Astyanax mexicanus: one gene and its partner. The protein of the gene in region 1 purifies or fractionates together with the protein of each later gene. This does not show direct contact. Links are inferred from orthologs where the notes say so. Each region holds a gene or a part of one and is shown on either strand. Other genes may lie near its edges.

What was found.
Region 2: the proteins of ndufaf5 (region 1) and ndufaf8 purify together in Homo sapiens (affinity purification with mass spectrometry; 3 studies listed by BioGRID and IntAct, counting the BioPlex papers as one, with this or other methods). This does not show direct contact. The link is inferred for Astyanax mexicanus from reciprocal best matches to the Homo sapiens genes NDUFAF5 and NDUFAF8.

The regions. Positions count from the first base shown.
Region 1 is NC_064428.1:34,486,586-34,498,064, forward strand, and holds the start of ndufaf5 (arginine-hydroxylase NDUFAF5, mitochondrial), read left to right. Parts: upstream 1-6,726; 5' UTR 6,727-6,843; coding exon 6,844-7,122; intron 7,123-7,849; coding exon 7,850-7,890; intron 7,891-7,979; coding exon 7,980-8,043; intron 8,044-8,797; coding exon 8,798-8,845; intron 8,846-8,936; coding exon 8,937-9,040; intron 9,041-9,681; coding exon 9,682-9,721; intron 9,722-10,233; coding exon 10,234-10,431; intron 10,432-11,408; coding exon 11,409-11,469; intron 11,470-11,479. Other genes in the region: ESF1 homolog, read right to left, coding at 31-144, 1,406-1,701, 3,133-3,631. UniProt on the Homo sapiens protein: Arginine hydroxylase that mediates hydroxylation of 'Arg-111' of NDUFS7 and is involved in the assembly of mitochondrial NADH:ubiquinone oxidoreductase complex (complex I, MT-ND1) at early stages. May also have methyltransferase activity.
Region 2 is NC_064422.1:33,105,852-33,117,616, reverse strand, and holds ndufaf8 (NADH dehydrogenase [ubiquinone] 1 alpha subcomplex assembly factor 8), read left to right. Parts: upstream 1-5,736; 5' UTR 5,737-5,841; intron 5,842-6,014; 5' UTR 6,015-6,083; coding exon 6,084-6,164; intron 6,165-7,023; coding exon 7,024-7,134; intron 7,135-8,899; coding exon 8,900-8,920; 3' UTR 8,921-9,168; downstream 9,169-11,765. Other genes in the region: AP-4 complex accessory subunit Tepsin, read right to left, coding at 596-1,147, 1,389-1,523, 1,612-1,690, 1,794-1,907, 2,235-2,421, 2,537-2,725, 2,856-2,924, 3,188-3,269 and 5 more. UniProt on the Homo sapiens protein: Involved in the assembly of mitochondrial NADH:ubiquinone oxidoreductase complex (complex I, MT-ND1). Required to stabilize NDUFAF5.

The DNA of each region.
Region 1 (11,479 bases):
GTAATTAACAGTGTGAGATAATATATTTACCGTTACAGACAGAACCACTCCGTCTTTGGGTTTGAAGGAGCTGAAGAGAGCCAGAAGGTCTTTAGCTTTAATCCGATCCCAGTCCATATTACACACCGCCAGCCTCCGGCTCATCTAAACACACACACACACACACAGATATAATGTCTTTACTGGCTGGTATATTCTCCCAGAAATAATTACATGAAGCAAATATTTGTGTTTTTAAGACTATTTTATGTCACTGATATTTTAATAATATATTAAAATAAAAATGAAATTACTTGGCCTGTCACAATACCCATATTTATTAAACGATGTATTGTTGTAAACAATAAAACTGTCATATTGGGACTAATATATGCTGCTGATACACTGAAAATATAACAGAAATATATGTAATTACACCATTTTAAAGATAGCTTAAACTTTTACTTATTAAAGAGCCACTAAGCACTAAACCATATTTAAACGCTTAACCATAAAAAACGCTTTTATTGTGGTAATTTCTTCCTCTGCAGTGCTGTTTCCTCTCAGGGTTAGCTGTGCTATAGGCGAGGATGATGAGTCATGATATGCAAATAAATCAATCAATAATACCGCCCCAACTGGTAACGCCCAATCATCTGCAACTCATCGCTATCAGAGGCACACTGCTCAGACCAATCAGCTCTCCCTTCTGCCCCGCCCCTAAACCCATACATCACCCAGTGCACCTCCCAAACTACCCTCCCATTTTTTTTTTGCCTTTTTTAAGTTTGAGCTGAAGGTGTAGTCAGCAAAAATCGGAGGGTTTAGTTAAACTTTAATAGTCTTGAAAACTAAAAGAGAGGGGAAGGAAAAAAATGTTGAGAGGATGAGAAGGGAAGAAATAAGAAAAAAAAACTAAATTTTGTGCTGGGTTCGTTTATTTAGTTTTGTACATTTACTGTTTCGTCTATTATTTTTGTGCTTTTAATTCTGGATAACGCTAACGCTTTTCTTTTCTCATTCATTGGATTTGTCTTCTTTCTCTGCACATTTTTAAGCATATTTTTTAAATGCTGTCACAAGTATTATTAATTTATATAAAAAAGCATGGAAGTAAACACAATGGGTAATTTTGAGCACCGCAAAAATGAGTGATTTTGTGTCCATATATTGTATGATTGATTGATCGATCGATAACATGATTATATTTACAGGCCTCAGGCCTACAAATTAGGTAAATATTAATAATTAAAAGTTAATGGATACACCGTTTAAATAGCGCTAAAAAGAGACTGTACAGAAAGGGGAAATGTAAAATAAAAATATGGAACCTTTAATGAAAAAAATGTTATTTACTGCACCTTTAATGATGCAAATCACGTATAACTATACAAGAACAGTATTCAAACAATTAAACGATTCGAACCTCCTCAGTGCGTGGAGCGTCCTTCCACATCTCCCCCCAGTTGTGCTCGATCTCCTCTTCCTCTCGACGAAGGTAATCCTCCACCTCATCCTTCTCTTCCTCTTCCTCGTCCTCTGAGCTGGTCTCGACGTTTCCTTTTCCTCTGGCCAGATCTGGACCACTGTCACTTTCATCTTCAGAATCTTCATCATCATCCTCTTCAGAGTCTTCTTCTTCTTCATCGTCAATGTCATTTTCTGCTGAGAGACCTTCTTCTTCATCTTCATCCTCCTCTTCCTGCTCCTCATCTTCCTCTCCTGTATAAACAGAGGAATATGTATTAATAAATGTACTACTTAAAGTTACACTCATTGCAGACAATGAGTAGGTGCCTGACCTTCTAATCTAAAATATTCTTAATTTAAAAAAGTATTTGGGCGATCATTTTTTTTTTTGCCGATATCACAATTTAATGAATATATTCTGCAACAATACAAATACAAAAGTATTATTTAGTATATATATAAAAGTCTGAAAATAATAATATATTTACAGGTATAAAAATCTAAACTAAACCTTTGCCTTACTACTAACATCTACTAACATCTTGATTTGTATAAAATAATAAGTGTAACAACATGATAAATATGATGAAACTAAAGCATATTTACTGAATACAAACCATTTAAAGTAAATGCAGTAAATAAATTAAATACAAACATAAATATACAAAATGGATCGTTTTCAACAATATTATAATCACCTATATCCACATAATTGTGGAACAAATCATATAATTAATTGTAATATAACTAACTATATAAAAAAATAATAGCTTAGGTTTGTGTTTTATGTTTTCTAAACTGATAACTCTTAGCATTTCCCCAGTCAGCAAACCCTTAACACCTTATCAACCACCGAGCAACACCTGAAGAACCATCTTGCAACACCATAGCAGCCACATAGCAACATTTTAACACCACCCGGAAACACCTTAGCCACCACTGAGCAATGCCTTAGCAACCATCCAGCAACACCTTAGCAAACACCGAGCAAGAGCTTAGCAACCACCTAGCAACACTTTAGCAACTACATAGCAACACCACCTAGCAACCACCGAGCATCAGCTTAGCAGCCACACAGCAACATCTTAAAAACACCTAGCAACCACCAAGCAACAGCTTGGCAACCACTGAGCAACACCTTAAGAACCACCCAGCAACACTTTAGCAACCACCGAGCATCAGCTTAGCAGCCACACAGCAACATCTTAAAAACACCTAGCAACCACAGAGTAACAGCTTAGCAGCCACATAGTAACATCACAACATCTAGCAATACCTTGCAACACCTTAACACCATCTAGCAACACCTTTGCAACCACCCAGCAACACTTTAGCAACCACCCAGCAACACATTAACACCAACCCAGCAACACCTTAAGAACCACCCCACTACACATTAACACCCACCTATCAACGCCTTAGCTGCCACATAGCAACAGCTCAACACCACCTAGGAACACCTTAACACCACCTAGCAACACCTTAAAAACCACCCAGAAACACCTTAAGAACCACCCAGAAACACCTTAAGAACCACCCAGAAACACCTTAAAAAACACCCAGAAACACCTTAAGAACCACCCAGAAACACCTTAGCAACCACCCAGCAACACCTTAGCAATCACAGAGTAACACCTTAGCAATCACAAAGTAACACCTTAGCAACCACCTTGCATTATTTACCTTCTTCTATCACTCTCACTCCTTTAAGCAGCTCTGATGATGACGTGGTTTTCCCAGTTTTTTCAGACTCTTTGGTTTTTAAAGCCTTCTTGCTTTTCTTTACAGTTTTCTTAGGTGCAGGTTCCTCCTCTTTTTCCTTCTGAGCCTCCTGCTCCTCCTCCACTCCCTTTTTTCCTTTCGTCTTCTTTTTCTTCTCTTTCTCTTTCTCCTCCTGCTCCTCCTGCTCCTCCTGCTCCTCCTGCTCCTCCTCTCCTCCGTCGGACTGCTCCGAGTCCGAGACCTTGTAGAAACGCTTCAGGTCCTCGGTGGAGGTGTGGCTGACCGGCCGGCCGCGTTTATCCACCGTGTACTTCAGCTTGAAGCGCTCGTCATGGAACATGGACTGGAACCTCTTATCGATCCGGACCTTCTTCTCCACGTCCGGAATCTCCCAGAAGCGAGGATCCTTAGTGATCTTGGTGAAGCGGTCATCACAGCTCGGCTGCTTCTTAGACGACATGATGGAGCTACAGCTTCCTTACACACAGAAACCTGCTTAGAAAACAAAGAAAAATAGTTAAATTACTTTATTTGATAATTTTTTTCAAAGTGTGTATCACACAACTGTTTAACTGTTTAGTATTATCAATATTTAAGCACCAATTTCAGCACTAATTGCATACAGTGCAAAAACATGGAGATCAGGTACATTGGATACTCTAAATTGCCCAGAAAAATTGAATACTCTAAATTGGTCTGGTAAATTGAATATTCTAAATTGATCTGGTGCATTGAATACTGTAAATGGCCCAGAAAACTGAATACTCTAAATTGATCCGGTGTGTGTGTAAATGTGTGGTATGTATGTAAGTTTGTGTCTGTGTAAAATGGGCGTAAATGTGTGTATGACTGTGCCCAGATATAGATTGGCACTCTGTCCTGGGTAAATGCTGTAGTGCTCGATGCAGTCCTCCAGGTGGACGGTTGTTTCCGGTTGAGAGTACGCTGTGCGCTTTTGGCTGCCGCTTCTCACCGGTGTGTGGATGAGTGTTGATGTGTAATGTGCTTGTGTGTAAAAACGTGTAAATTGTAAAGCGTCCTTGGGTTTCTAGAAAGGCGCTATATAAGTTGAACTTCATTCATTCATACAGTTAAACCCACTAGCACTCGATGGGTAAAGAATTATAGAACCTCAGATAAGACAATGTCCAAACCACTGGAGTTCAACACGCTTGAAGGAGAACACTAACCACCAGTACTGTTACCATTACACTGAGTAATAATTCATTTCTACAAGACCCATCATTTTACATCTTCTCTTTATCTGTTAGAATCTAACATACTATTTTTGCTACAGTTATATTATTAAGACTGACATATAGTAACAGTCAAAAGTTTGGACACACCTTTGATTTCTAAATTGTAGATTCGTATGAAAAACATTAAACGATTAAGGGATACATATGGAATTATGTCGTAAACATTTAATAAAGTGTTATTCCTCCACATTAATCGGTGATATGAGGTGATTTGAGGTGATTTAATTGTGATGAGCTGGAGATTCACAGCGTGAAGGAATAGCAGCAGCTATTGTTCAGCACCTCCAGGAACTCCTTCCTTCAGGACTCTGAGAAAACTATTCCAGGAGACTCTCCCTCATGAAGACACTGAGATTAAAATCTCACCAACAGTGTGCAGATCTGTTCTCAAAGATAAAAATCCTTATTTAGAAGAATCTAAAGTAGCTATAAAACAGATTCTAGTTTGTTTAACACTGTTTGTTTACAGAATAATTCAGCATGAGTTCCTGTATAGCTTAAATATAGTCTTCAATAATACATTAACAATGTAAATCTTTGATTTAAGCAAATGTAAATCCTCTGGAATATAATCAAGAGGAAGATGGATGATCACAAGCCATCAAACCAAACTGAACTGCTTGAATTTTTGCACCAGGAGTGATTAGCATAAAGTTATCCAAAAGCAGTGTGTAAGACTGGTGGAGGAGAACATGATGCCAAGATGCATGAAAACTGTGATTAAAAAACAGGGTTATTCCACCAAATATTGATTTCTGAACTCTTAAAACGTTATGAATATGAATATGAATTCTTTGCATTATTTGAGGTCTGAAAGCTCTGCATCTTTTTTGTTATTTCAGCCATTTTTCATTTTCTGTAAATAAACGCACTAAATTACAATATTTTATTAGGAATTTGGGAGAAATGTTGTCTGTAGTTTATAAAATAAAACAACAATGTTTATTTTACTCAAACATAAAATAGGAAAATCAGATAGACAGTAATCAGAGTTACTGTAGTTAGATATGTAGTATGATAACATTAGTTAGCATTAGCCTCTGCTGCTCAGTGATAAACAGGTGATTTTAATGTTATTAATGGTAAAGGAATAAAGTCAGTAGATAATCTGATACAGCAGCGGATTGTTAATCTCTCTGCTGTTTAAATAAACCGGATTTAAAGTGTAAAACAGTGTAAATAAGGTAAATTAGAGCTGTAAGATTCTCACCACTCTCTGATCCTCCACTCCACACACCATCCACGTGTTACCCCTGACCTCTCCTAGCTCCGCCCACCCACACTACGGCAAGCCTGGGGACCCAAAAAACATCCCGTCCCTGCCTTCATTCTGAATGTGTGAGAATTTTATATCTATATTATTTCAATACCTACAGAAAACTGCAGAAACATAAAGCCAGAGTAATTTAAGTGTTTTTAAATAGACTAATTACACTAGTTAGACCCCCTAATATGCAGATTGGAACACAACCTGTATTTGAATGAATAAAACCCACGTTATGCAGCTGCGGGACGTGTTCCAATCTGCGCATTAGTGTTACAAAACAAGATAATCACTACAACAAGATACCATACAGCTTTGGAAAAAAATAAGAGACCAATTCAGTTTCTGAATCAGGTTTTCTTATTTTGCAATTTATAGGTTTATGTTTGAGTAAAATGAACATTGCTGTTGCCCAAATTCCAAATAAAAATATTTTAGTCATTTAGAGCATTTATTTGCAGAAAATGAGAAATGACTGAAATAATAAAAAAGATGCAGAGCTTTCAGACCTCAAATAATGCAAAGAAAACAAGTTCATATTCATAAAGTTTTTTAGAGGTCAGAAATCAATATTTGGTGGAATAACCCTGGTTTTTAATCACAGTTTTTTATGCATCTTGGCATCATGTTTTCCTCCACCAGTCTTATACACTGCTTTTGAATAACTTTATGCTTCTTTACTCCTGGTGCAAAAATTTAAGCAGTTCAGTTTGGTTTGATGGCTTGTGATCATCCATCTTCCTCTTAATTTTATTGAAGAGGTTTTCAATTTGGTAAAATTAAAGAAACTCATAATTTTTCAAGTGGTCTCTTATTTTTATCAAATGCTGTTTGTAGTTAATGCATATATATATTTTCTGACATATATTATGCTATACTAATTAAGCAGTTAATTGAATAATTAATAATGTTTGTGATGACACAATGCCATAAGTGAATGATAAATGTTATTCTGAAAGAGATTTATTTATTTTTGCTTGGCACCTAACTCAAGTCCACTTGATAGTGTACAAGTTACCTGTTGTGAATTGGAACACGCACATAAACCCACGTGACTGTTGAGACTGCAGACGGAAGGTCAGCGGTTTTAAAATGCACTTGTTACTGTAGAGTTGATTTTATTAAGTTATGTTTTACTAAAGGTAATAAATGATGAACAGTGTGATTAATCTAAGAGCTCTGAGGCGGGGCTGTGTGCTCTGCCTCGGTCTGCCCCCCCGGATCAGCTCCCAGCCGGCGCGGAGCTGCAGCTCTGCTGACCGGGCTGCACTCCCCCTGCGCCGGCTTCACCCTGCGGCTCAGCCCCGCGGTCTGTCCTCCAGAGCCGGAGGAACCATGAACGTGTTCGACAGAAACATGAAGAAAAGGCAGAAGAGCTGGGCCTCCGCCCTGCAGGACAACCACAAGTACGACTATCTCAGAGATGAGGTCAGAGACACGCGATTATCAATTTAATCCAGTAGCTCACCGATTACTCAGACGATTAATCGAGTAGTCTGTTTATTATTGAGATGATTGATCGAATAGTCTACCGAGTATTGCGACGATTAATCGAGTAGCAGCCCAACGATTATTCAGACGATTAATCAAATAGTCTACTGACTATTGAGACAGTTAATCGAGTAGTAATATCAAATAATAAGACGATTAATCGAGCACTCTACCAGTTATTGAGATGATCATAAAGTAGTCTACCGATAATTGAGAAGATTAATTGAATTGTCTACCAACTATTGAGGCGATTAATCGAGTAGTCTACCGATTATTGAGTCAATTAATTTAGCAGCCCATTGACTATTTTGACGATTAATCGTGTAGTCTACCGATCATTGGGACGATTAAGTCTGCTGATTATTGAGTGGATCAATCCAGCAGCCCACTGATTATTGTGACAATTAATCGAGTAGTCTGACGATTATTGAGACTATTAATCAAGTAGTCTGACGATTATTGAGGCGATTAATCAAGTAGTCTACCAAATATTGAGATGATTAAAGGAGTAGTCCATTGCTTAGTAAGACGATTATTTCAGCAGGCCACTGATTATTCAGATGATTAATCAAGTAGTCTACCGATTACTTTTCATTATTGTTGGTCTTCCCGATTATTTAAAATTTGGATGGTTTGAGTTTTAATAATTCTCTGAACATTGCAGGTTGGAATCAGAGTTGCGGACAGGGTTTACGACATTGCGAGGTAAGGTGATATGGTGATGTTGTGTATCTCATTCTGATCTCTACTCTATCAGCAGCGTTTATACATCACTGTTTCTGGTGTTTCTGCAGGACCTTCCCGTTAGCGCTGGACGTTGGCTGTGGAAAAAGCCACATTGCCGAGCACCTGAGCAAGGTAGACCTGCTGGATCTTTTCTGAGCTTATCTCTGATTATCCTAAAGGTGTAGGAAAGTACTAGTACTTTACTTTTTTTGGATTATAAGGCGCACTCTTAATGAACGTCTATTGTCTGGTCTATTTTCATACATAGACGCACAGGATTATAAGGCGCATTATGCAACACTAGTAAGGAACAAGGGTGTCACCACATTTCCTTTCTAATGGGGAAACTGAGGGAAGTGCCTAATTAAACAATATTCAGTATCTTTAAAAAAATCAAATGAGCGCCGGATGTTATCCTACACAGATTTCTCTCATGAAAACTGTTTATTAGGGTTTATTTACAGTAAGCTTAGATTTACAATATTTTTAATAGTGCGGTTAGCGCTAGTAAATGCCGGCTAATAGCGCTAGACTAAGGAACCCCAGCTAGCGGTTCATCCCACGTAGCTTGTTTTAACACGGTAAACACACAGACTACAGTTCAATATACTCCCCTCTGAACAGTGAAAAGCTAGCGCTGTGGTAAGCGGCTAATGCTAATACTGCTCCAGCCTTAGTGCTGGAGAAACTTAACTGAAAACTCTCCCTTATAACTCTGTACTTCAGCAGAGTGACTTTACTGCTCCCTAATACCTGACTGGTAGAATTTATACAACGCACTGATGATATTTGGGAAAATTAAAGAATATTTGATATTACTTCTAGCATATTAAATACATACTATATATTAAATAACTAGTCCGTTCTCTACGTTTCTGTTTTTCAGGAAGTTGTGGAGCGCTTTTTCCTCACAGACATTTCGGAGGGTTTGCTGGTAAGTAGCGGTGCTGGAAAGTGAAGGAGAAGATCAGGAGATAGTAAAGAGTGAATTATATTATATATTGTGTATATATTGTGTGATTCAGAGGCAGACGAAACCCTGTGAGATGCCCACTCACTGCGTGCTGGCGGACGAGGAGTTCCTGCCGTTTCAGGAGAACACCTTTGATCTGGTGGTCAGCAGCCTGAGGTAAATCTATTATTCATCAATACACTAATAGATAAAGTATGCTGGGAATCTTCATGTATTTTAATTAGTAGTTAAACTGAACATTTTTTACTACTTAAATTATATGCATCTCCAAAATATTACCTTTACAGGGCACGTAAATTTACCATGCTACCTTTCTGTGGAAGTGAATATCGTCGATGTCCTATGAAAAACACTTTTCTCGATTTTTGTCAATTTTTATTTTATTACATAATTTGAACAGGCAAACTGTCCCTTACATTGTGCCAAAATTTCTTGATGAACGGACCAATAGAAACTCTTCAAAATGACCTGAAATAAACTCTTTTTACATTGACTTCCATTGAAAGTTTAGAAGGTTTGTTCTCTCTCTTGTAAAGTTGCTGTTTTGGAGATAAGTGTTTTTCTTTGGACAGCGACGATACATTTCTCTTATTTTTTCCAGAGCTGTATATATACAAGGATTTTGGGTGACTGTGTTTACAAAAAAGTGCACATATTAAACAATATTTAAAGTGTGATTATTTCATACAGATTAATCTTTATGAATATGTTCTTGTATACTATTAAATATAATAAACACAATATAAACTGCAGCAGGGTATTTTTCATTACCATCATTGTGTGTTTGTTGTTTATAGCATGCACTGGATCAATGATCTTCCTGGAGCTTTGAGACAGGTATGTTTTATTTGTATTTGCTGGTTTATTTATTTGAAGTAACAGTGTAGTTTTTTGGTGAGAAGTTGAGGTACTTTTAAAACGTTAATTGTGGGCCAGTTTCTATTCAGAGTTAATTAATCTGGTAATTTTATTTAGGATAAGCAGGGTTTTGGTTGCTCAGATAACCAGCAAATCCTGTAATAACCAGAAAAAGGTCCTGTAGGGACCTACCAGACACCATGTTTTTAAAATGAATATACCGGTATGTGGCATTGCAGGAATGATAGCCAAAGCATATTGATGCCATTTATTGTAATGTTCTGCCCTCTGGTTCGCTGGTTTGAATCCCGCTCATGGGTGGGTACAGTAAATGGCGCTTTTTCCTCTCATCACTCTTAGGGTGATGTGGATCAGCACAAGGCTGCGTCTATGAGCTGATGTATCAGAACCGCTTTCCTCTGAGCGTTAGTGCTGTGATGCTAATTTGGGGAGAAAAATGGGCTTAGGGTTCTCTCTCTCTCTCTCTGTAGATAAACGGTGTGCTGAAGCCGGACGGGGTGTTTATCGGGGCGATGGTTGGTGGTGAGACGCTGTATGAGCTGCGCTGTTCTCTGCAGTTGGCTGAGCTGGAGAGGGAGGGGGGCTTCTCCCCCCACATCTCCCCCTATACCGCCGTCACCGACCTGGGCAACCTGCTCAGCCAGGCCGGCTTCAACATGCTCACCGTGGTGAGGAAATAAGAAATAAGAAATAAGAAAATAAGAAATGGCTGAAATAAGGGGTTCATCACTCAGCCAGACAAACTGCAGCCTCTCCAGCTGGAGGCGCCACTGGACTGTTCTTATGCAGCATCAGAAATCAACCAGTGTTTCAGTCTAATCTGTATAATAGAAGTATAATAATGTAAAGAACCTTGATTTAATGTTTTTAAACATCTTAGACATTATGCATTTTATAAAATACTACAAAAGGTCTTAATACAATAAAATACAACAATAAAATCTTAACTAAAATATTGAAAGTTAAGATTTTATTTTTGGAGATACAAGGCTTTTTTTGCCTGACCATGACAATTTAAATAATATTAAAAAAGCGATTTTTTTTGGTACATAGAAATGCCAACTTAAAACTGTATTGTAATGTAATACAGTGTCAATCGATCAATTAATCCACCTTTAATTTCACTATTTATTTTTTTCACACTTAAAATTTGAAAAGAAAATTATAAAGTCTTTTAACAGGTTAGGCTAAAATAAGTTAACTCATAAACAAAAAAATACAAAAATTAAAGGGCAAAAGAATAAAAAAACAAACAGACAATTAAGATTTTATTTAGAATAATAAAAATAAGCAAACAGTAGAAATAAAATAAAAAGGTAAAACAGAAAATAAACTAAAATGATTAAAAACAGAACTGCTGATGTTATTAGTAGCTGTTTTAGGCCAATGATTACTGGTATATAAAACTTGCACTTACTACTTGCATTAGCTACCGAACACCTTGGCTAATTAGCGTCATGCTAAGTAATGTTAAAGAGGGAGGGCCGTCCTATCCACCCAACTCTTAGACTATTGCTTCACCCAGGAGCCCATTGGCTTCTATTCTAAATTATTTTTTTTCATCAGTTTATTTTTTTTTATTTTTCATATTGAATATACCTGTGTTTAAACTGTATGGAGGTAATCTTTCCTGTATTGATTGCAGGATGTTGATGAGATCCAGGTTAATTACCCAGGGATGCTCGAAGTCATGTCAGATTTACAAGGTAGAGTTTC
Region 2 (11,765 bases), on another chromosome or scaffold:
GACAGAGCAGAGATTAGATCTCTTTACAGTTTTTCATTTTGGAACCAAGTCTGCTAATTAGGGCAGAACTCCCAGCACACACAAGGCTTTCTTAACAGTTCAACTACACACACTAAGCCATATTTAGGTAGCCAGACCAAGTGAAAATGCAGATTAAAAATCTTGGGCAGTGAAACGTTACAGCTTTCCCTTTTTAACTGTTCTGCTTATTTCCAGAGCAGAGATATTCAGTGAATTTGTGGGTATTAAAACAATAAAATTCATTTTAAAAAGTGTATTGTGTCAGCATTGTTATACTTGTCAAGCACAGTCCCTGGAAAAAAAAAAACTAGCAGCATTTGGATACATAAATATTAAGTGTTTTTTTTTTTTGTTTATTACTTCATGCACCAATGCCTCAGGTGTACCTCCCGTGTTCCTCCCTGAAAATTAGCATACTGCAGACTTGTTCATTTAATATTTTTCAGAATTAGTTTAAAATAACAAAGGCTGGCATCAGGAGCATTGAGGGGTTTGGTGTTTAAATATTACTTTTAGGTCATTAAATAATACTACACCCTGGACCAAGGTGTTTCAATCAGAAGGCAAAGGAAGATCAGAGGTTGACGAAGGAAAAGGCAGAGATTTGTTCACCACTAGTAGATAAAGAGGAGTCTGCAGTTCTTTCTGAGCTTTTCTCCACAGCAAAGCCTGTGTAGCCTTCTGCCCCAGTCTGGACATCTGGCTCGACAAGAACAGGCTCAACCAGACACACAGGCTTCCCTCTGTTTACCAGCTCCATCCCACTAAACAGTGAGAGAGTAGGATGGTGTCTAGCGGGCTCTGTGTATTTGTCCTCATCCTCATGTACAGTCTGCGGGTCCTCTACCTGCACTCCATTCTCAGCAGATTCTCCCACAGCAGCAGCAGTCACAGTATGCTCTTGTTTTAGACCATGTTCAGAAGAAAGAGCATGTGGGAAATTTGTGGATGACATGCTAGAAGGTGCTTCAACATCCAGAGTAGTTGGGAGAAGAAGTGGGCTGACAATGGTGGGATTTAATGGCTGCTTTGAGAGCGAGGGGCTGGATGATTCTGGACAGACTGCAATGCCAGTCTTCATCAGGGGCGTGGAGCTGCCCAGGAGTGCCTCAAACTGTCTAAGGAGCTATACAGTACATAAGAGAGATAAAATATATTCAATAATACATACAATACTAGTATAAACAGCTGTTGCTCAGTGGTGGAGAAATCAGGTCCAGAAAGTAAAAATCCTTCCCGACTGAGCTGCAGCACAGCTTTCCAGGAAATGGGAGCAAAATTCTAGGAAGGATTTTTATTTTCCTGATCTGAATTGTACACCCACTGCTATCACTAAAGATACAAAGATTTAAAGCAATTTATTTAACCTTTGTTGACTTGTTGGCTACAGGTCCTTCCACTTCCTCACTGAGCTGGGCCAGGCGCTTATGTGTAACACAGAATATCTGGTCCAGAGAGAGGAGATCTGTAGACATCAGGCAGGCCAGGCCACACAGGGCCCTCTGCGGAGAGGAGAAAGAACTTGCTTTATCAGTTGCTTTGCCAAACAGAGACATGAGATAGCAAATACTAAAGAATAAATAAATGTACCATTTGGACAGTCTGTGCTGTTTCCTTCAATTTGTGAGAGAGAAGTTCTACCACAACTTCACAGTTTAAAGTAGAACACCTAGAGAAGCAGGACAAAGAAACAGTTAATTAATCTGACTTTACTGCCAACAAGTATTTTTTATACTTTTATTGGGATACAGCCTCAATATACAAATGCTTACTCTTTAATGAAGTGCTGGCTCTCATCTCTGGACAGGAAGATTTTGGAACCATTAGTAAGACTGCTGATCAGCGCCATCTCCTGACCACAGTCTCCCAACTGCATGGCCTCCACACTGAGAGAGAAAATATTTACCTTTACAGTGGGCTATTCACTCACAGATCCTACATGCATTAATAAATAAATTCTATGTAAAATATAAATAAAAGCTTATAACTAAGCTTTTAGGTTTCACCCATGAACATTTTAGAAAAAATACTAATTCTTCATAACATGCTATAAATAAATGTGCATTTTATTATTACTTCTAGAGTTAAATTGTGTCCATAACATGAACACTAGTCTTGTGTTCATGAATTCAGACAACTTTCCCTCAAGCTCTTTATTCACAGAACCACAAAGTGGGGAAAAAAGTTTCAAGCAGACTAATGAGATCCCTTACCGTTCTGCCAAGTCTCCACTCTCTCGACTGGCCCCCGAATGGCTGCCTGTTTCACCGGATTTGCTGCTGTCCCCCCTGGAAGTGTGGCTAAGTGGCTCAATCTCAAGAGAAGAGTTGTGAGAGGAGCTGTGCCCACTACCAGTCTCCTCCCAACCTCCACCTGCCTGTCCTGGACATCTGTGAGAAGCTAGAAATAAGGAATTTGATTTTAATGATGAACAAAACTCCCGTATATAAACAGAATCCAGAATCCATAGCTTGGACGAAGAGCTGTTATGAGGGTCTGTGTGTGCACAGCTAACCTTTGTGGCTGTGAGTGGGCACACTGTAAGCACATGCTGGCATTGCCACCTCCACTGCAGCAGAGGGAGCAACCACTGCCCGATAGTGGTTGTCATATAGACGAATCCCAGGCTGCTCTGTTGGTGGAAGGACAGCACTGGCAACTACCTCTGCAGCCTTCTGAATTTTACCCAGAAGAGTCGCTCTGTCTTGGGAAGAGATATTGTATATATGGAGGATGAGGACAGATACATGGAGCTACATAATTTAATGCAGGCATTTAATTGCTGTAAAAAAAAATCACAGTTCGTTTTGGTAAAGTGAAAATTACTCTCTTACTGGATGTTTTCCTTCCAGGGCTGTTTCCAAATCCCTGCATTCCTGAGCGGAGAGATTCTGATCCCATTCCTGCCGAACAAAATAAAATAACAGAATATTACACAGATTGTGGCTACAGAAAATATCTTTATGCTTAAATTCTTTAATTAGCTGTTATTATCAGTAAATAAACAGTCAGTTGACAATGATAAGAATCGTGCTTAACAAATACACATGCACAAATGTTGGACAATACAGAATCCTTCACAACTTTTTTCATGGGTATCATCACATAAACAGCATTTTTCCATAAAAAAAGAAACTTAACATTTCCATCAAGAAAGCTCCCTTACCCAGGCTTGGAGTTGCAGCTTTGCATGGCGAGAGTCCAGAGTTTGCAGACATTGTATCATTAAACAGCACACCGGCCAGTTCCTATAAAATAGCCACAATCAAACATTAAATCTTTGTTCATTTAAAAATTAAATGTGTCAGATAAACTGTTAATATTATAAGGCAAAGGAAGAAACAGATAATTACAAAATCTCAGGTTTGACAACCTCAGTATTTAACAGAGAAAGACACACATCTCACCTGCGCTGCAACCCTGACCCTTTGAAAGGGAGCATTGCCATGAATGGGATCTGGTGGACCACTGTAAACTGAGAGACCACACAACATGTCAGTCTGCTTTAAGAAATGGGTGAAAATGTTGTGTACCGGTAAGTTAGGCTGGTACTTTTGTACGTCTACTCCAAAAAATAAGGGTTTAAAGTACTCTATATGTGTGTAAATAAAGTAACCATATCCAAGTACAGTGTCCATTTTATTCAAAGGATCTAGGTCTGTTGCAATAATTACAATATCGTTTTGTCGTATAATATATGAAAAAGAAAACACTAATTACCAGTTACTTCTTGGATGAATGTAGCATTCCGCCTCAGTTCTGTGAGAAAGTGAGGAGGACCATGTCCACACAGATGCAGGAGGATCTTCAGAACCTTGGACAGAGAAATGAGGGGTGAGAAATCTCAAAGAAACAGACAATCACATTTAATCAACTCCTCATTTCCCTCCTCTACGATACAAATGGAGGTTTGTGCTTGAGTTTCTCTCACCTTCAGTTTCACATGGCAGGACTCCACCTGCAGACGCTCCAGGAGGTACTCCAGAAGACACTGGCAGCAGCCCAATGACTCATGTGAGATTTCTATGATTTGAAGTGAGTGAAGGAATTTGATGGAGAACAGTTGTGTTCATTTTGTGTTCAAGTTGTGTTCAAAACAACAATGTTCATTGTACTCAAACATATATCTATAAAACAGCAAAATAAGAGAATCTGATTTAGAAACTAAAGTGGTCTCTTAATTTTTTCCAGAGCTGTGTGGGTAATGTGTTGTAATGAGAGTGAAAGCTGCTGGGAGAAGGATACTGTTGATGTCCTGGAAGAGGTAGCCGGGGCAGGGCACTTCGTCATCTGCTGTTGCCTTCATGAGGGTCGGCACCTAAACAGCAGTCAGGGAGAAGACAGGGTTAGAGACTGCGGCGCTCAGCAAAACCAGCTGAAAGCAAGAGTAAAATAGGGGGTAAAATATAAATATAGTATAAATATAAATGTCAGAATCCTCTGACAGCTAACAGGCTAGCTAACCCTGCTGTGTAACTCTACGGGAGTTTGCTAGCGTTAGCTAGTTAGCCAGTTAGCTGCGGCTATCACACTGTAGCTAAACACTCCAGAGTAAAATCCAGATAGCAGATATCTTTGCTCGCTGGTCTCCCACACAAAATGCCGTGTCTGATACCTACTTTCTGAAGGAAAGTCAGCCTTTCCATTAGTGTAGCCATCTCGTTCCGATGAGCAGTCCACCGCTCTGTGTACCATTGCTGTGCGTGACTTGGTGGATGACCGTGCACTTAGCGAATCACTGCATCTGTTAGTGAACACCTCGAACCGATTCTTAACCCGTTCAGACCTGAATTATGTTCCAGTAATGAAAGAAAATGCTGTTTCTGTTTGTAATGTAATGCACTCACAAACAAGTTAATTATTTTGTAAATAAAATAATAAATAAAGTAACTAATAAAAAATAATTAGTTTAACATTATTTTTATCCTATATAACTTTTAAACACCTTCTTTTATTTTGCAAATCATTCCTGTGGAGTAAAACCAAATACATGATAGGAAAAAAATATTTTGCCTCATTAGCTGTGATGCTGCCATGCTTTTCTTTCAGTGTGCAGATTAATTTAGATTAATTAGATTAATTCATTTTAAAAAATAGATGTATATCTGTTAAAAGGGTTAAGTTATGGAACAGTTGTGAAAAATGTTTAAGAATGCCTAACATTACTGAATGTTACTGAACATAAAGAAAGTGTCATCAGTCCTTCTGATTCTGATGCCACTGATGTTTAAAGATTACTTTCTAAAATGGGCATTCATCCCAGGATGACAGGGTGAACAGAAAAATTATGGATACGTTTAAATATCTTATTTTTTTTAATTAAAGTAGCTAATTAAATAATTAAAATGCCTAAATTATACAAAAGAGTTCAGAAATTAATATTTGGTGGAATAACCCTGGCTTTCAACCACAGTTTTCATGCACCTCCACCAGTCTTACACTCTGCTTTTGGATAACATTATGCCTAATTTTTAGGTGGTCTCTTATTTTTATTTTTCTTAGGTAGTCTTTTATGATTAGGTATTTAAACAACTATGCTGTCAAAATGTAATATTTAAAAGCAGAGTCGATTCATTGAACACGACAGTTCAAAAGAATCGATTCTGGAATTTGAATCACGCTCTTCAGTACTACAACGTTCTGTCACGACCTTGCCGCACAAGCCCTAATGATTCATTGGTTCATCTGTTTTACTGAAATGTCTTTAGTAGCCAATCAGCAAAGATAGTCAATTTTAGGGGGCGGGTCATACAGATGTTTGACCAATCACTGGTGTGAGAGGGCGGGCCGTTTCTTCGTCACTAACATGGTGAGCACGGGGTGAGTAGTGCCTGCTGTTGTTTTCTGTCAGTAATATGATTTAATCATGTGTTTTTGATCAGAGTGTTAAAGCTGAGTGTTGGAGTTTATGGGTAATTGATGTATATTGTTAAACAGTGTAAAACAGCGCGGTATTTTACTGTTAAATGTGTGTTATCTCTCTCTGTGTGCAGGAGTTAGCCTGCCTGTGAGCTAATGTTAATAACTGTGGGTTGTGCTGAGACTTAAAGCTGATCAGAATCATGTCAGGGACAAACCCCTGGACCCGGAGCCGAGAGAGGATGAGGCGGTTCCCCGACCTGCTGGCCCAGTGCTTCACAGAGGTACCTGTATGATGGTGCCCATACCTGTCCAATGCTGTGTTCATCTGCTGTTCCTCTGGTCCTACATGACTTTGAAAAGACTCTGAAAAGGCTTAACAGACTAAAGTCTGACACCCTCTCACATCTAAAGACTAGTCACAGACTTTTTACTCACAGACTAAGATTTTGCAAAGACTGGGGGTCACTATTTGCAAGACTGCAACTAGATTCTTCCTGAGATTATTTCCCATCATGCTTCTGGTTGAGTTTACATACAATGAATATAACATCCTGAGTTACAAATAATATGTATATCAATACTGTGATTTATCAGAGACTGACAACTTTTGTTTTTTAATATATTTTGTGTTCAACTCTGCTTATAAGCATCTTTTTCCCACCCCCTTTTTTGCTACAACCTTGTATAGCAAAGAATCACAGTTTCACTGCTGTACATTTGTCTTTGTTTTAGATAGAATTAGTGCAATAAAGAACATCATTCTTGCAAAATGTGTATTTATTACATTTGTTTGTATCAGAAATAACACTACACAATAAGATAACGTAGTGCAAAATAAAATAACTTTAAATATAATGACTTTAAAGTGCTAACGTTACCTAGAAAGAAGAAGAGAAAAAGAAACATAAAAGGCTTATTAACTGAAAACTGTGTTCTCTTTCAAATCGTTTGTAAACAGTCATATATTCAAATATTCTTGACCTGCGGCTTCCCGTAGATCTCCTATTGGTTGATGACATCGTTCACATCACTATTTGCGAGAGCCGAGTCTCAAGACTTTCGATAACATTTTAACAGCAGCTGTAAACTAAATGATTTACAGACAGCTGATTAACTGTTCTCTGACTCTTTTTCCTACAGGCAGCAGTTTATGGGAAATGTGTGGTCTCCACTACTACTGGTAAACAGGAGCTGAAGAAAGATTTATGTGTAAAAGAGTTTGAAGCCCTGAAGACCTGCTTTGTCTCTGCTGTGAGTAAACCTAAAACCATTAGCACACTGCCCGGCCAAAAAAAAAAAAAGTCGGCACCTGGATTTAACTAAGTAAATGATGTGGGGTTGATGCTGCAGTTAGTCAGGTCTAGATTCAGCAACAGTATGAAGAATGAGGTCAGCTGACTACCTGAATATACTGAATATAGACCCGGTTATTCCATCAGTGGATTTTTTTCTTCCATGATGGCATCATGACAATCATCAATCCTGCAAGATCTTGGTGAAAAATTAATGCAGCACTGGATTTAAATAAATCTTATGACAAGCTTATTGAAACAATGCCACAGTGAATGCAAGCTGCAATCAAAGCTAAAGGCGTTCCAACGAAACATTAGAGTGTGTGACCTTTTTTTTGGTGGCGACTTTTTTTTGGCCAGGCAGTGAATTACAATATGTTTTATTGTATACAGTACCTGTCAAATGTTTGGTCTTCTTTTCATTAAGTGTGTTTTCTTTTTTTTATATATATATATATGTATATATTTTTTTATATTGTACATTTAATAATGAATACATTAAAGCTTTTCAGGAACACATGTGGAATGATTCTTCTAAATGGCCACATTTATCTTTGGGGACAGATCTGCACACACAAATGGGTATTTTAATCTCAGTGTCTTCATGATGTAGAGTCACGTGGAATAGTTTTCTCAACCTCTCAAAGGAGTTCCTGAAGGTGCTGAAGCAGCAGCTGAACAATAGTCGCTGCTACTCCGTCACGCTGTAAAGCTTCGGCTCATCCCAAATCACCCAATCTCAGTTGGGTTTAGGTCAGGGGATTTTTTTTTGTTTACTACGTAAATCCATATTTGTCCCTTAATTATTTTTGTCTTTTCTATTTATCTACAGTGTAGAAAATAAATAAAGAAATAAAGAACATTGAATGAGAAGGTGTGTCCAAACTGTATAATAACAGCAAACGTGTCAAATTGTGGGGAACATTTAATATAATGGGAATACAACAGAACATGATTTGATTTAGACTAACGTCTGTCAGTACTGAAACTCATACAACATTAAATAAAATGGAAAACATTAAGAGATTGGCATTAATTAGCAAATTAAACAAAAAGTCCTTACTCTGAATTGTAATATTTGAAATTATGCTTTTTAAAAATTGTTCTTATGAAAATCAAATGCCATTTGAAACAGAAGGGCCCAGATGCATATCCTGCATTTCAGTGAAGGTTTTCTTTTTTATCTTCCATGGCAAATGGCAAAAATCATGAGACATGATACTATTCTGTCCCGTTACTTGTGGTATATTAATGTAACTGTATACAGAAACTAAAAATGTCTTAGATTTAACAGCGTGACCTTTTTGGTGTTATATAAATCAATTTTTTTGCGGAACAATCAACAAGAAGGATTTTTTTGCTGTCATTGTTTTAGGTGCAGATTCAGACATTCATATTTCAAACTAAATAAATTTTCACACCACCCTTCTCACTTCTTAAATTATGTAGTTTGGATAAAATAAACCACCTGTTGGATTTGTATATATTAAGAGAAGAGTGCATCATTTGGATGGATATGAACACAGAAGTACATGATGTGTTCTTATATATGTGTATACCGGTAGTTTTTGAAGCCCTTAGGATTTTCACTCTTATTTGTCGTTACTTTAAGCAAACTAAAAGTTTAAGTTTGTTTGTATTTGTATAGTATGTGTTCTCTGACCTTAATATCTAAATTGTTTTAATATTTATTCTTAATTAACTTAATGTATTTTTCTTTGCAGGCAAAACGGGGTGTGAAGTAGATGGAGTGCACAAAGCCATTCATTGACCATCATGTTTTATAAACATACATTTATTTGTATAGTTACAATATAAAAAAACAGTTGCTGCCATTTTTATTTACCAGTATAAATAGTGACATTATTTTTAATATTTGAATAATATATGTTGGTTCAGCATATATTTGTATTGTCCTCGTGTATAAAACATAAATGAATTGTATGACACTTGGTTTTGTGTGAGCATGAGTAATAATAAAGAATGAATGTGAATAGTAAGGAAATGGACCGCGTGGTTAATTTAAACTCTGCCACAGAGAAGCATGGGCCAGTAATTCTGACAGCCCCACTGCTTAATTAAATAGATTAGAGGAAGATATGGATGAAAGAATTGAACTAACCATAACCAGACTGTTCATTTGTTTTAGACAGAGAGACGGCGGGGGTAACTGGCTGCATGTAGAAACTGAAACAGGCAGGATGAGTAATGAGGTGTGTTACGGCTCTAAGGGTGGCACCGTCCGGCTTTAATTGCTGCTCTTGGATCTGTTTTTTAAGGGATACATTAAAAGACATAGCTTTGAAGAACTGGTCGTAGCTCAGTCAGAGCAGGAGATGAACATAAAAAAAGGCAAGCTGATTAATGCTTTGCCATGGGTTTCATGTCACTGGCACCCCAAAAGCTTATGCACTTCAGCTTACCACATATGGAAATGCAAGCTGCACCAGTATTATTGACGCCCTGCTGGAGAACCCACACCCTTGTTAGCCAGATGTTAATTGATGGAGTGGCCATAAAGGCAAGTCAGTAATGACTTGGGATCAACATACAATCCAAACAGCCAATTAGAGAATGGGTAAAAGGCTTGAGTATATAAATGTTTGCAGCCAACGGCTTGGAGAGCTGTGGAACTCTGCTTGAGGTATCTCTATAGAAAAAAAAAAAAACGCATGGAAATTCGTCTTAACCTCACTCTACTCTGACTCAGGCACTGTTTGTGGCTTGTCTTTATGTGGTGGTGCTTCACACTTTTTTTAGTGCACTACAAGGTGTTAATTAAAAGAGTCTGGCCCACTGGAAGTGCTCTTGTTCTGCCAAACTTGGCCATTAGCCTTAATGGTAGAGCCTTTGAATTTTCTTGAGTATGGTCTTCATTTGGAAATCATTTCATTTTTTTTTCAGTTTCTCTTGAAAGATAATCCATTACATATAAGTTTTTGTCTGTTTTACAATATATTTATATTTTATTATTAATTTATTATTATTAAATATAGACATATATTAGGATCTAACAATAGAGAGTTGGACAGTTTAGTACTGCTTTAGGTCCATGAATTCAGGGCTGTAAAACTCTAAACATAGAAATATTCATTGATTTTGGAAACATCTGTCTGTGAGATTATTGGCTGGTTGTAAAGTAGAAACCTGGTTATTGTCTGACCCAACATTGTCCTATTATTTAATTACTGATGTACATGTAAACACATTCATTGGATTACTGACAATATCTGATTTCTGCAGGTATTTGATTGTTAATTAATTTAAATGCTGTTATCAGGGGTGTCAGTTCCAGAATATCAGTTTAACATTCAAAGCTACCTACTATTCCAAAATAAATTACTAATATACCACAAAGAAGGATTTACTATCCACACAGTTAATAGCATAATCACCAGTTTTTACACACTATTTGTTTACGCACAGTTGTGAATATTCCATAACATTACAATCTGGTGGTGGACCCACATTAACATTTATGAAAAGTAATAACAGACTTTCAGACATTACAATGGCCATTTTAACACCTATTTTAAATGCATGTATGTGTTAAAACAGGATATTTATCTCCAGAACATACAGTATATCTAATTTAAAAACATCATCCCCCTGTGGCTCAGTAGGACCACAGGCAGCTGCATATTGTTGCCTAGTGTTACAACCACCTATAACCCCATATAGGAAAAACCTCTACAGCACTCTGATTCTGGGTCAAAACTCATTTTTTAGTTTTAGATGACAAGTAATTGTCATCTGTGTAGTAATCATTTGAAACACCAAACAATGGTATGTACAGATCAGATTTTATTCCCGAAGCACAGAAGAGATGTAGCTCACAGTGTTTTTAAAAGGCTTTTTGACTGAAAAATGTCTAATGTATGCTCCTTGCTTGGTCAAATGTCCAAACACATAAAATAAAACAAAATAAAAGCTCAGGTCCAATTTCAAATGAGGTTTAACACAAGAGGGTTCATCACTGCTTTACACATTAGAAACATTAATGAAGTCTTTTACAGTACAGTCAGTGAACAGGAACTATAGGGGGCAACCTGGAGGAGCAAGCATCTCTCACCCTCTTAAAGAGTGGACACGACTGACAAATAAGGCACTGAAAACACAAAACATTCATAGCCAAGAATAAGGACTGTAGATGGTCCATGGAAAGATAATGGATTTGCACAGACAGCAATGTAATTCAATGCAAATTGGAATAGAACTGAATTGCATACTTTGTATACTCTTGATATATTTTCAAAAACAAACATGGAATTTATACCTGTACAATTGGTCCATTTTTTTCCCGATTGTGCCTTTAGAAAATGTCTACTTGACTACATCAAGAATAAATATTAAGATACACTCGTTTTTTTTTTTTTTTTTTTTTTTTTTTTTTTTTTATACTTCTTTCACATTTACACAAAGTTTTATAGCTGTAACAAACTAACTATGATTTTGGGGAGAGCTGCTTTGTATTTTTTTGTTTGGAATGGAAAAAAATAAATTACAAAATATTTTGGTCTACAAAAATAGAATTTGCATAAAACTTTGAATGAATGATTTTACAATTCTGTTTTTTGGTGATGTTACTTT